Linked DNA regions of Mus musculus: regions 2 and 3 are each reported to be linked to region 1. The links are microRNA targets in miRTarBase. Many come from high-throughput screens and were not tested one by one. Region 1 holds a microRNA gene; each other region holds the end of a gene's coding sequence.
What was found. Region 1 holds the annotated microRNA mmu-miR-758-3p (UUUGUGACCUGGUCCACUA, at 1,457-1,475, shown strand). A microRNA usually pairs through its seed, bases 2 to 8, with sites in the 3' UTR of a target mRNA and lowers its output. Matches are read on the target gene's strand: a 7mer-m8 pairs with bases 2 to 8, a 7mer-A1 pairs with bases 2 to 7 and ends in A, and an 8mer does both.

Region 2: miRTarBase lists Spryd4 as a target of mmu-miR-758-3p. The part of its 3' UTR that is shown has no 7-base or 8-base seed match.
Region 3: the mRNA of Kdm6a is a reported target of mmu-miR-758-3p. Seed matches in the 3' UTR shown: 8mer at 1,248-1,255 and 7mer-A1 at 1,749-1,755.

What each region holds. Positions count from the first base shown.
Region 1 is chr12:109,711,402-109,715,545 of GRCm38, forward strand. It overlaps Mir758 (microRNA 758), which reads left to right and starts at 1,409; the gene lies at 1,409-1,489. It overlaps Mir380 (microRNA 380), which reads left to right and starts at 402; the gene lies at 402-462. Mir1197 (microRNA 1197) reads left to right here and starts at 916; the gene lies at 916-1,035. It overlaps Mir323 (microRNA 323), which reads left to right and starts at 1,107; the gene lies at 1,107-1,192. It also overlaps Mir329 and Mir494.
Region 2 is chr10:128,207,382-128,211,381 of GRCm38, reverse strand. It overlaps Spryd4 (SPRY domain containing 4), which reads left to right. Exons shown (of 2, transcript NM_025716.2): 2 at 1-1,474. The coding sequence ends at 529. It overlaps Gls2 (glutaminase 2 (liver, mitochondrial)), which reads right to left. Exons shown (of 18, transcript NM_001033264.3): 14 at 3,992-4,000; 15 at 3,760-3,821; 16 at 2,715-2,791; 17 at 2,213-2,276; 18 at 1,378-2,094. The coding sequence ends at 1,938. Among named protein-coding and RNA genes, the nearest start is that of Spryd4, 2.4 kb to the left of the region's middle.
Region 3 is chrX:18,277,990-18,281,989 of GRCm38, forward strand. Kdm6a (lysine (K)-specific demethylase 6A) reads left to right here. Exons shown (of 29, transcript NM_001310444.1): 29 at 637-1,947. The coding sequence ends at 666. Among named protein-coding and RNA genes, the nearest start is that of Kdm6a, 120 kb to the left of the region's middle.

The sequences.
Region 1 (4,144 bases):
CCTGGCCTACTCTTTTCAATATCAACTTCAGCTTTGAAGGTTTCCAAAGAGGCCCCATTAACCTTGGGGGTGGGGGGGCAAGGCAGAAGGACAAATGCCTTGGGGTAGAGGTTGTCCATGCTTCTTGCTTTACTTACAGCGCATGTTAATTTGGTCCACCTTCCCATAATAGTGAATGCGCCTTGGGGGCTTCCTGTGAACAATATTTCCTTAAAGGCACAGTGCTAGTTACGGGGTCTTCTCTTCGCGTCCTTGCAAACTTCTCTTTGCTATATTCTCTGCATCTGCAGCAGGCAATGCATGGTGGTCTCTTTTCAACATTGCATCTAGGGTTTCCTGGAAGTGATAATCATGAGGAAAGAAGCCAGCTCCTGCACCACCCTCTCTCCATGGTACCTGAAAAGATGGTTGACCATAGAACATGCGCTACTTCTGTGTCGTATGTAGTATGGTCCACATCTTCTCGTTATCAAAGTCATTCGTGAGGGTTTTCCAGAGACCGAGCCAACTTCATGGGAGATATCCTGTCCTGGCTTCAGCACAGTACTTGGGGAGATGGTAGACTGTCGAGTGTGTGCGTTAATTCCAGCATGTACAGCATGGTCCACCACATCTCTGCATCAGCCGGTCACCAGGGGCTTTCTGAAAGCCATACCAATTGAGAGTAGGGCTCAGGCGGCAGACCCTATCCAACACAGATTACCCAGTGCTTGGCTACAGGCCATGTTCATTACCTACGACTCTGGCCATTTGATCCAAAGCCAATATTTGGCACCCAGCCCAGCCTTACAGGGCATCCTGGAAGTCATAGTGGCATTAAACATGAGTTTGTGGCCATTGCCACACATGCCGATTGCTGGTAGTTTGTGACACTCATTGAGAAGGCATTTTGGAGGTAACACCAAATTAAGTAAAGTGAGCTGGAATCAGCCAGCGTTACCTCAAGGTATTTGAAGATGCGGTTGACCATGGTGTGTACGCTTTATTTATGACGTAGGACACATGGTCTACTTCTTCTCAATATCACATCTCGCCTTGGAAGACTTCCAGGAGGTGACATCTGCTTTGAGGAAGAGCCAGTGTCCCGGTCTTCCTACTGCTGCTGCTTGGTACTTGGAGAGAGGTGGTCCGTGGCGCGTTCGCTTCATTTATGGCGCACATTACACGGTCGACCTCTTTGCGGTATCTAATCCCGCCTTGCGAGCTTTCCTGGAGCTAACACCAGCTGTGGGGTGGGGACACTAAATGTGTGTGCTAGCGCAACCCAGCCAGCGGGTTTGTCTTTTCTTGTGTCTGACAATAACTCTTGTGTGGCAGCCTTCTTCTCAGCAAATTTCTCTGGCTTGGCAGCTTCGTGGGCAGGGTGACTTGCAGACCAGGAAAGTGGCATCGACATGTGATACACGTGTGGGTGCGTGAGGTGGTTGACCAGAGAGCACACGCTATATTTGTGCCGTTTGTGACCTGGTCCACTAACCCTCAGTATCTAACCTTCCCTTGGAGAACTTCCTGGAAGAGATCTCAACTTTTGGGGACAGAGGCAATAAGCCAGCTGTACGCTGTTAGACTTGGAGACAGCATCCTCAGTACTTGCAACATATGTGCCTGTTATGGTAGTATTGGATGGGCTTCCAATGCTGTCCTATACTTGGATCCCTTCCTTGATATGGGGCCATCCAAGTTCAAGAAACGTACCATGTTGTCAGACATGACCAGGGTGTGTGTATGCCATTTATATATGGCACAGGTCGCAGGTCACCTTAGCACACTTGCATGCTAAATCTGTGGGAGGAATCATCTTTGGTTTGGGGGCATCTGTGCCTTTCTGTGGTTACCCAAAATGGTGGTAAGTCCTATAGCCAGTCTCTACTGCGCCACTGCTCTCTGGTTGTGACATAACTTCAGGATCATGCCATGGAGGTCTGCTGTACTGGGGCATGTGATGGGATGGCTGTCAGATATATATCAACTAATGGCTTGCTTGAGCACTTTGACTAACATCCAGTGTGCAACCCTGCATTCAACAGGCCTGCCAGGTCTGAAGGTCACGTTGGGGAATTACCGAGGTAGTCTTGTCAGTGTTCGCTTCTGGTACCGGAAGAGAGGTTTTCTGGGTCTCTGTTTCTTTGATGAGAATGAAACACACCCAGCTAACCTTTTTTTCAGTATCAAATCCCATCTTGGAGGCTTCGTGGTCCAGATCCCAGTCTCAGGGAAGGATGGTCCTGTCAGCATCCAGCCAGGGGACAGGAATAACTGGTTCTCCACAAAGCCAGCGAGTGGATTATCGTTCTGAATGGTGTCCTTTGTCCTCTAAACCCTCCCAGGCCTGCCAGGTCTGAAGGTCCAGTTTGGGAAGGTGTCATTGTTATTGTTAACTGAGGATGTGGAAGAGGGGTTTCTGTGTTTGAAACACATTTGGTCAACCTCTCTTCCCATCAGAACAAACTATGGAGGCCTTCTGGTCCATACCTCAGCCTCAGCTGAGGACACACTAATAGTTATGAACAAGTGAGTGACGGACAAAACCCATCCCATACATCAGATTTCTGTTGCCTGTGCTTCTAACCTTCAGTATCTTGTCCATTCTCAGGAGGACTTCTCAACCAATATGGTGTTCCAAAGTTGGGGAAGATGGCAGCCACCGAGGCAACTCTACCCCAGGTCATCACAGGTAGGTTGCACCCACTTTGCTTCTAACAGGTTAGACACAGCCACCCCCACACATGTCCAGCATGCTTTGGAGGCACGGTGATGGGCTTTTAATCAGCCAACCCCTGCTATAGGACTGTCTATTGTAGAGAACACCCACTGTGTCAGATGGTACCTAGATCCATGCTATTCACACACACCCACATCCTTGTAATAAGAGACTTGGAATCAGCAGTGTTCTAGCAGTAGGAAAGCAAACCTGAAATTGGCACACACATTTGCCCAGTGAGCTTTAAGATATGAAATCTGGAGCGGGGCAGTGGTGGCGCACGCCTTTAATCCCAGCACTTGGGAGGCAGAGGCAGGTGGATTTCTGAGTTCGAGGCCAGCTTGGTCTACAGAATGAGTTCCAGGACAGCCAGGGCTATACAGAGAAACCCTGTCTCGAAAAAAACCAAACCAACCAACCAACCAAACAAACAAACAAATAAACAAAAGATGTGAAATCTGTTCTTAGTCCTTAACTCCACCCAGGGTTGTGGTCAGCAGTAGAGCTTTCTGTGGGGTTCCAGGTAGAACACAATTCTCATCTGCAAATCATGAGCCCTTTTCATAGGCATTTCATATCAGATATCTACATTATGATTTATAACAGTAGCAAAATCACAGTTATGAAGTAACATTGAAAATAATTTTACAGTTGGGGATTACCCAACATGAGGAAGTATATTAAAGGGTCACAGCACTAGGAAGGTTGAGAACCACTCGACCAGGGGGTGGAACTGCCTGCCCCTGCCTGCTGCTTCTTTATACTACCACATGTGCTGGCACACATTTACCTTCCTACTAACTTTATAATGTGTCTGCTTTTAGAATCTTACCTTCCCTGGAAACTACCCAGACTCACAACCAGAGGGCTGGGTCGCTTCTCATCACCCACCTACCTCTTGGAACCAGAATCCGAGGCTCATTCCTGAACACCCCCAATGTACTGTACTTGTTGAAGTTGAGAGCTACTATTCCCCTGTTATCTCCTGAGGCACAATTTCTGGGGTCCCTGGTTCCCTTCAGTGACCCCCCCTAAACCTGGAGAGATAAGGAATGCAGGTGGTCTGTGTTGTTGGTAAATAGTCTCAGGCAATTCTGTGGACTGTCAAATTGCACAGGGGTTTTGGTTGCTCTCCAGGGCCCACAGAAGCAGACACTTCTGACAAGGCACCTGGCACTTTCCAGCTGCCTTTGTTTGCTTTCTGACCAGTGCTAATTGATACTTGAAGGAGAGGTTGTCCGTGTTGTCTTCTCTTTATTTATGATGAAACATACACGGGAAACCTCTTTTTTAGTATCAAATCCCACCCTGGGGGCACTCCCTGTCCCTGATGACGCCTTCAGGGAAGGGACCTGGACTGCTGTTCCCTGGACTCTGGGACATGGGACATGGGAGTATGGCATCAGGACTCAGCCCTGGAAGGAAAGTCATTTGAAGAAGGGA
Region 2 (4,000 bases), not on the chromosome of region 1:
CAAACTGGAAGAAAAAACGGCCCACAGCAGCCTGGCACTCTTCAGAGGCGACACGGGTGTCAAATATGGCTTGGTGGGACTGGAACCCACCAAGGTGGCCCTGAATTTGGAGCGCTTCCGGGAGTGGGCAGTGGTGCTCGGAGACACCACAGTCACCAGTGGCAGACACTACTGGGAGGTAACAGTGAAGCGCTCCCAGCAGTTCCGGATAGGAGTGGCAGACGTGGACATGTCCCGGGACAGCTGCGTTGGTGCTGATGATCGTTCCTGGGTGTTCTCCTATGCCCAGCGCAAGTGGCACAGCATGTTGGCCAACGAAAAAGCTCCAATTAAGGGTATTGGGCAACCAGAGAAGGTGGGGCTGCTGCTGGACTATGAGGCAAAGAAGCTGAGCCTGGTGGATGTGAGTCGGATCTCTGTGATCCACACACTACAGACAGATTTCCGGGGCCCAGTGGCACCTGCTTTTGCTCTTTGGGATGGAGAGCTGCTAACCCACTCAGGACTCGAAGTGCCCAAGGGCCTCTAATGTGGCCAAGACCCTGAATCGTGCTCATGGTCAGCTTTCTGTCCTTAGTGTCTAAAGCGATTTTACTTTGTTTCAAGCAACTGGTAGCTCTCACAATTCTGTTGGGATCCTTTGTGCAATATTGTAGCCATCTTCCCCTGGGCCCTACTCTGTAAGAGCTAGGTATACAGCCAAAGTCGCCAGTTTCCTAGGTCATCAGGGGATTCGCCTCCTCAGGCCAGTTCTTTGGGTCCTTCTACTTGTGCCCACACACCTTAGACTGTTCAGTCCTGCGGTCCTGCCTCTCGGCCCGTCCCTTATCCACATGTAACTTGTTTTGGGGGCTCACCAGATTCTCTAGAGTAAATGCTCTCTACCTCTGGCTGGAGGAGTGGCAGCCACAGGCTTGGCCTTTTCTCTGATGCACCTCAGATTCTTGGGTTCTGGCTTCCTCAGTTGTACCTCAGCACTAGAGATGTCAGTCCAACCCAGATGCAGCTATCTCCACTCTGAGTCCATCTGTCTTCTGGATACCTGATACCTAGGCAGTTTGCCATAACCATTGTGCCAGTTATGTGACAAAGGGAAAGAGACACTAGGGAGACATGTATGGCTCTGGTGCCAGAAACGTTACCCTCGATAAGTTCCTTCTGTGTATCTGCCACAGTTCAAAGCTCCAGAAAAAAGACAACTTTACACAATCCATTTTGGAGCCTGTTCAGACCCACAACTCCCATCTCCCTTGGCCACAGAATGTACTTAATAAAAGCAGTATTTTGGTTTGAGGAAAACCTGGTGAAACAGTTGAATATGTATGCGGAATATTCAGTTTGGACTTGTCTGACCCTGGGTGCTACAATGGTGATAACTGATGATGTCCTTAGGGGAGAAAGAGAACGACTAAATTTAGCAAAATATAAAATAAAAATTATAATTCATGTAATTAAAGTTTATTTGAACACAAAATACTCTGTCTATAAAATTGCTGTCAGCAGTAGCAGCGTGTCCTGGCTAAGATGGACAGATCTCCGCAGACTTCTAAAGCCACGTGGTTTGGCTCTCACCCATTTCTCTTACTCTGCGGCAGATACATATGCATGTAGCTAGAGGCTCTCCAAGGAAGTTGCTTGTTGGCATGATGATTTCTTCAGAGAGGAAAAGGGGACCTGGGTAAAGACCCGGGCTACTCTCGAGCTGTATCTGGAGGTCTCTGTAGCTAGCTCTGCTCAGGTATCCATTGAGGCTTTTCTCTGTGCTGTGCACTGAACTGATGGGGCGTTTTGATTCTCAGAAAACACTGGCCTGTGTCACCAAATGGCTGTGTCGATCCCCAAGGAAGCAGCTTGCCGTAGTATTTTTGGTGGCTGTGGGTTAAATGTGTGGCCAGCTCATGCTTTTTCTGAAGCAGGGACTGCCCCTGGGCCTGTGCTCATACCATGCTCTCTAGATTCTCTTTGGACAGGGTCTCAGCTGCCGCCTCAGCTTGAGTCTCAGAGAGCAAGTAGGAGTCATGGTAATCTTGAAGCAGTTTGACCACCTCCAGGTGGTTGAACTGCACAGCATCGTCCAGGGGAATGTTGCCCCACCTGTGAGGAGCAGGGATCACAGTTAGGCAAAGAGGACTCGGAGAGAGCCATTGTTGCATGTGTATGCACAATGGCCGGAAGGCTGACCTCCTTCCCTTTAGAATTAAATATTACTCACCTGTCCTTGACAAAAGGATTCACTTTGCAAGCCTCGATCAGAAATTTGACAACTTCAATGTGCCCTAGGAATATAGGTAGGAGGAAAATGAGAGCGTGCAGGTAGGTTCTGAACTGTTTGGTGTAGACCCTCGGTAGCTAGAGTCTGTACCAGAGGGGAGGAGAAAAGTCCTCAATATTTGCTCTTGCTAGCCCCTAGTTACAGTCTAGTCTCCCTGTCGGGTGAAAGGCCTGTAGACAAAACTAGCCATTGCCCTTTATGGGCACAATGATAGGGGGACATCTGGTAGAAGAGAAAGGGCCCTCCACTCTGCTCTTTCTCTTTAACCCTCTGAATACCTACAGCTAGGTTGGGCAGTGCTGGCACATGCCTTTAATCTCAGCATTTGGGAGGCCGGGTTTGAGTCAAGCCTAGTCTATAGAGCAGGTTCCAGGACAGCCAGGGCCACACAGAGAAACCCTGCCATGAAAAACAAATAAAAAATCCAAAACCAAAAAGATACCTTCAGCTGCAGCGACATGTAGGGCTGTGCGGGAATCATAGTCCTTCTGCTCCATATCCATGGCCGACAATGCAAACCTGAGGGGAGTGGGAAGTCGCGTGGGTTACCCTTGCCAGTCTGGAATCACTTAGATAGCGTTCTGAAGTGGGGCCAGACTGGATGGGTTCCTGTTGGCAATCCATTGAGGATTGTATATGAGTCACTTCCAATGACTATGCTCGCCAAACCCACGCCATTAGTGGATGAATTCTTTTTTTTTTAAGATTCATTTATTTATTTATTTCATGTATGTGAGTACAGTGTCACTGTCTTCAGACACACCGGAAGAGGGCATCGGATCCCCATTACAGATGGTTGTGAGCCACCATGTAGTTATTGGGAATTAAACTCAGGACCTCTGGAAGAGCAGTCAGTGCTCTTAACCACTGAGCCATCTCTCCAGCCCTGAGTTGATGAATTCTTTTTGTTTGTTTGTTTTTTGTTTTTCGAGACAGGTTTTCTTTTTATAGCCCTGTCCTGGAACTCACTCTGTAGACCAGGCTGGCCTTGAACTCAGAAATTCGCCTGCCTCCCGAGTGCTGGGATTAAAGACATGCGCCACTAGCCCAGCTGAGTTGATGAATTCTTAACTCACAGCAGGCGCTTTGATTTTAAAACAACAAATCCTCAGGCTGGAGAGATAGCTCAGTGAAGTGCTTGCCTGCCAAGACCTGAGTTTGATCCACAGACTCCACATTGAAAAAAAAATAAAAATAGTAGCACTGGTTTTTAATCCTAGATTGGTGGGGGGTGGGGACAGGTAAGTCCCTGGGGCTTGATAGGTTATGACATCTGAAATTGTCCTCTGGCTACCACAGGCACACATACAAATGTGCAACTGGGCAAGCAGGCATGTGTACACAATGAGCCTACAGACACTTATTTAAATGCAGCTTCTCTAGTCTAACGGGTAAACCGAAGCATTTAGCAGTTTGCTGCACAGTGTCCTAATAAGATGTGGGACTGCGAGTATTTTATTACCTCTATTTAGTCATGACAGAATTACCTTCGAAGGGCCGAGACATCTCCACTATATGCAGCAAATAGCAGGTTCACCACGGTCTTGTTCTGGAACACACATTGCACCCACCTGAGAAGAACTGTGGCTGTGAACCCAGCCATGCTCAGCTCTCCCCGAGGCCCTCCTCCGTGGGCCTCTTCACCAAGGCCACTGCTGAAGTCTTGTGGAATGTATGATACCTTCTAAAATACCCTTTAGGCTACCGGGTCTTCCTTACCCGAACCTC
Region 3 (4,000 bases), not on the chromosome of region 1:
TTGCATGTGGTATAACCTTATGAATTTTAAGTGTACTCACAAATCACAAAGTTTTTCATTGTAAGCAGCAGATACAGGAAGCATTTCACTCAAAACAGATCTGACTAGAACTACAGACATAATTTATGAATTTTTTTTTCTTCCAATACTTTCCACATACATGTAATCAAAACCTAGCTTTTGAAGTTTAGCTCCTGGTATTTTCATTTGGATGGTGTTCAAGATTGCTTCAAGAAAAAAAGAAAATCACCTGGAATTTATCCCCCCCCCCAAAAAAAAAGTATTACCAGCCTTAGATTACTGAAGGCAGTCACTAGTAATATTGTAAATAATTTGATAAATTGATTTTGTAAAGCCCTGTCAATGAAAGCAATATATAAAAAGTGGTAAACTAAATAATATTCTAAAAGATTTAGGAGGCATAGTAAAACATACAAAAGATTCTTACAAAAGGTGGCCAGGTGGGAGATCTTAAGGGAAATTGTACTGTTTCGTTGTGTAACAAGGCTGTTGAACTTTAACAGAGAATAATTTCCGCCAGTTTCATAAAGCAACATATATATTTGCAGCTGTGAATCAAGGAGCACAACTAACAAATGAGCATACCAAAATAGTCTGCCTTGCTTTTATTTCCAGGCTCCTCCATTACCATCCGCCTCATCTTGATATTGTTCCATGGACATTAAACATGAGACCTTTTCTGCTATTCAGAAAGTAACCCAGTTCTGCACCACTGCTATTTGTAGCTATCTCGTAAGGCTGCTGGCTGAAAACTGTGTCTATGCAACCTTCCAAGTGTGGAGTGTCAACCAACTGGACGGGAGAGTACTGCTCCTATGCCAGGACTCTCGTAAAGCTAATTAGCTGAACTTCAGAGAAAAAAAAAAGAATAATAATTACCACGTTTTGTATATATCTGACAAAACTGGCAACATCATAAAGACTACTGACTTGAAGACAACCTCTTTTATATTTCTCGATTTCTGGGCTAATGAATTTGTTTTCACCTATCTTTTCCCTTTCAGAATTTTATTCGGGGGGGAAAATAACTAGCCTAGCTGGTCATTTCTTTGTAAGGTAGTTAGCAATATTTAGTCTTTCTTTGGTCACCTTTTTTTTTTTAATGTGAAAAGTTAAGTAAGAAACTTTTTTTACTGCTTTTATGAATTTCTGTCTTGTTTTGAAACTATGATCGTTATAATTTTGGTTCCCAAATAAAACATTTAAAAAAAATAATTAACAGCAACGTCACAAAGATAATGGATTGCACATAGACTAAGAAATAAACTTCAGAATTGTGATTTTTTTTGTTTCTAATCTTGATGTAAATTTACACTATTTATAAATACATATTTATTGCCTGAAAATATTTGTGAATGGAATGCTGTTATTTTTTCCAGATTTACCTGCCATTGAAATTTTAAGGAGTTCTGTAATTTCAAACACTACTCCTATTACATTTTCTATGTGTAAATAAAACTGCTTAGCCTTGTACAGAAACTTTTATTAAAATTGTTTAATGTTTAAAGAGTTTTCTATTGTTTGAGTTTTAAAAAGAATTTATGTACAGTGCCCAATTTTTGTTCACTTTTCAAATCTGATTATATATATTTTATATATACTTATGTCTGTATATATAATATATATAGAAATCTAGATATATGTATAAAGATTTAGAATTTGAATTTTTCTTGTTTTAAGTTTCACATCTATGGTAGATTTTTGAGGTGTCTACTGTAAAGTATTGCTCACAAAAAGTATGATTATTTTTAAAGAAATATATATGGTATGTATCTTCAAGACCTAAAATGTCAGACTGGTTTATTGTTAAATTGCAACTACTGCAATTACAGACAAAAAAAATCTGCCAAATGTAGTATAATAGAAAACATAGTGATTGAACTTAAAACTTTAAAGGGAGTTTTAATACAGGCTTTTCAAATCCTATACATGACTCATCATTTTTTATGAGGAAAAAATTTCCAGGATGAAGGGCCGTGTTTTAGAATACAAATTAATTTAAGAGGCTTATTTTTTAATGTTAGGCAATTTTGAAATATCATGCCTTTCTGCATGCATGACAGTGGAGTGGGATTATGTTACCATTCACAGATTACCGCTAGTTAATGCTAGGATTTTTTTCCTTCTTTTTTTTTTTTTTTTTTTTTTTTTAAATAATGGCACCTTCCATTTGTACCATTTTCTTAAGTACTTTGGGACACATTTTTATTTTAGAATATAGTTCTTAAGAATTTTCCACCAAATTAGGGAAGAAGAATAGAGAATGCTGTAAGTAAAGAGTGGGTGGCTGGGTTGGTTGGTTCATATCTAGTCTTACCTGCTGGACCATTGTGGTGAATATATTATCTTTTCAGATATTTTTTAGAGTATGTCTTAGGAGTATTTCAAGGACTGAAAGTATAGAGATATTTTATTCAGTTGGTTAATAACTTAGTAAACATTGAATGTCTATTGGCATTCATTTCTTATTATTTCAGGAAGCAATTATTCCAAATCATTTATCCAAATACTGATTCAGCTGTTTAACTACAAATATTTTAAATGGTTAATTTGTAAAAATAAGCTATCAAGAAAGTCCAACAGAATGAAATAAGGAAGTAAGGCTTTTGTGAATAAAAATTCTAAGCCAACCTTAAAGGAACAAAACTACACCTAACTGTTCTTACTTTGTTCTAGTTTTTTGTTCTAGTCTTACTGACATATCTTTTGAGTGACTATGTTAAGGTAAAGTTTTGTCAAGATGAATGTGTTGTCTTACATCTATATAAGAGAAATTTATGTAATCCAAGTTTGAATAAATATATCAAGATTAGTTCTTGCTTAGGAACTTAGTCTTTGAATAAGTAAAAATAGAAATATGGAGATAGGAAGTAGAGGTCAAGTCAATATTATTCTTAAATAGATGAGTGAAGGTCTTTGTAAACAGCTTTACTTCAACTAACAGTCTTTATGATTTGCATTTTTCAAGTTTTAGAAGATAGTTTTGTTTTCTTTACTGTTTACATAGGTAAGTCCATTAAATATGCAATATCCAGATGTCTTAATAATGAAACAAATTTGCATCATAGTATATGCATTGAGAAAGAAGCTCATTTCATACATAATATATAAATAACAAAGCACATGTTGATCCAAGTGCCAACAAAATTCTTTTCTCATTGGCACTGATTAAAAGTTACTTTTAATGAGTATCAGTATTGCAATTTGATTTGCCTAACCTATTATTTAAGTTAATACAAAATTCTAAGTTTACATTTTAAAATAAAACCAAAGTCACATTTACAAAACAATGAACTGATAATTAGGACCTTTCAAAGTACTAGTAATTGACTAATCAAAATTAAGGACCAAATAATGTAGCAGCTTAAGTGAAATGAGGTGTCTTCTAGATATGAAATACTATTTTTATTGTGTGTCTGATGGGAAGGCTACATATATGCCATGCCATAAAATTATGTGGAATTTCATTTATTCTACATATTTATCACACACATGAGTAAAATGTGATTCCTGCTTTCTAGCCTTTTTATATACATCTAGGAAGGGATATATATATATATCCTGGGAGCTTAGAGATCAACTAGCAGGAGTGACATTGGGGCATGCATTTCAGCATCATCATACCTAACAGGACAAGCTGATTTGGGAATTCCAAATGTGGCTGAGGTTGAAGGAATGGCAAAAGACAGTTTGAAAAGAGCTAAAGACTCAACACTGGAAAGCTTTTCTTGCCATATGGAATGTTTGCATTTGTAGTTAATGTGAAACCATCTATTAGATTTAAGCTAAAGAACATTGAGTTTACAGTGCTCTTCCTGCCTGTTTATTAGTTTTGTACACTGTGTTTCTTATATTGACTTTGAACTCATATCCCTCAGCCTCCTGAACACGGAGATTACAAGCTTATACTACCATACCTAGCTTTATTGCCCTTTTCATCTTCTCTGCATTGCAACTTGATATTTCAGAAGGAAGAGAT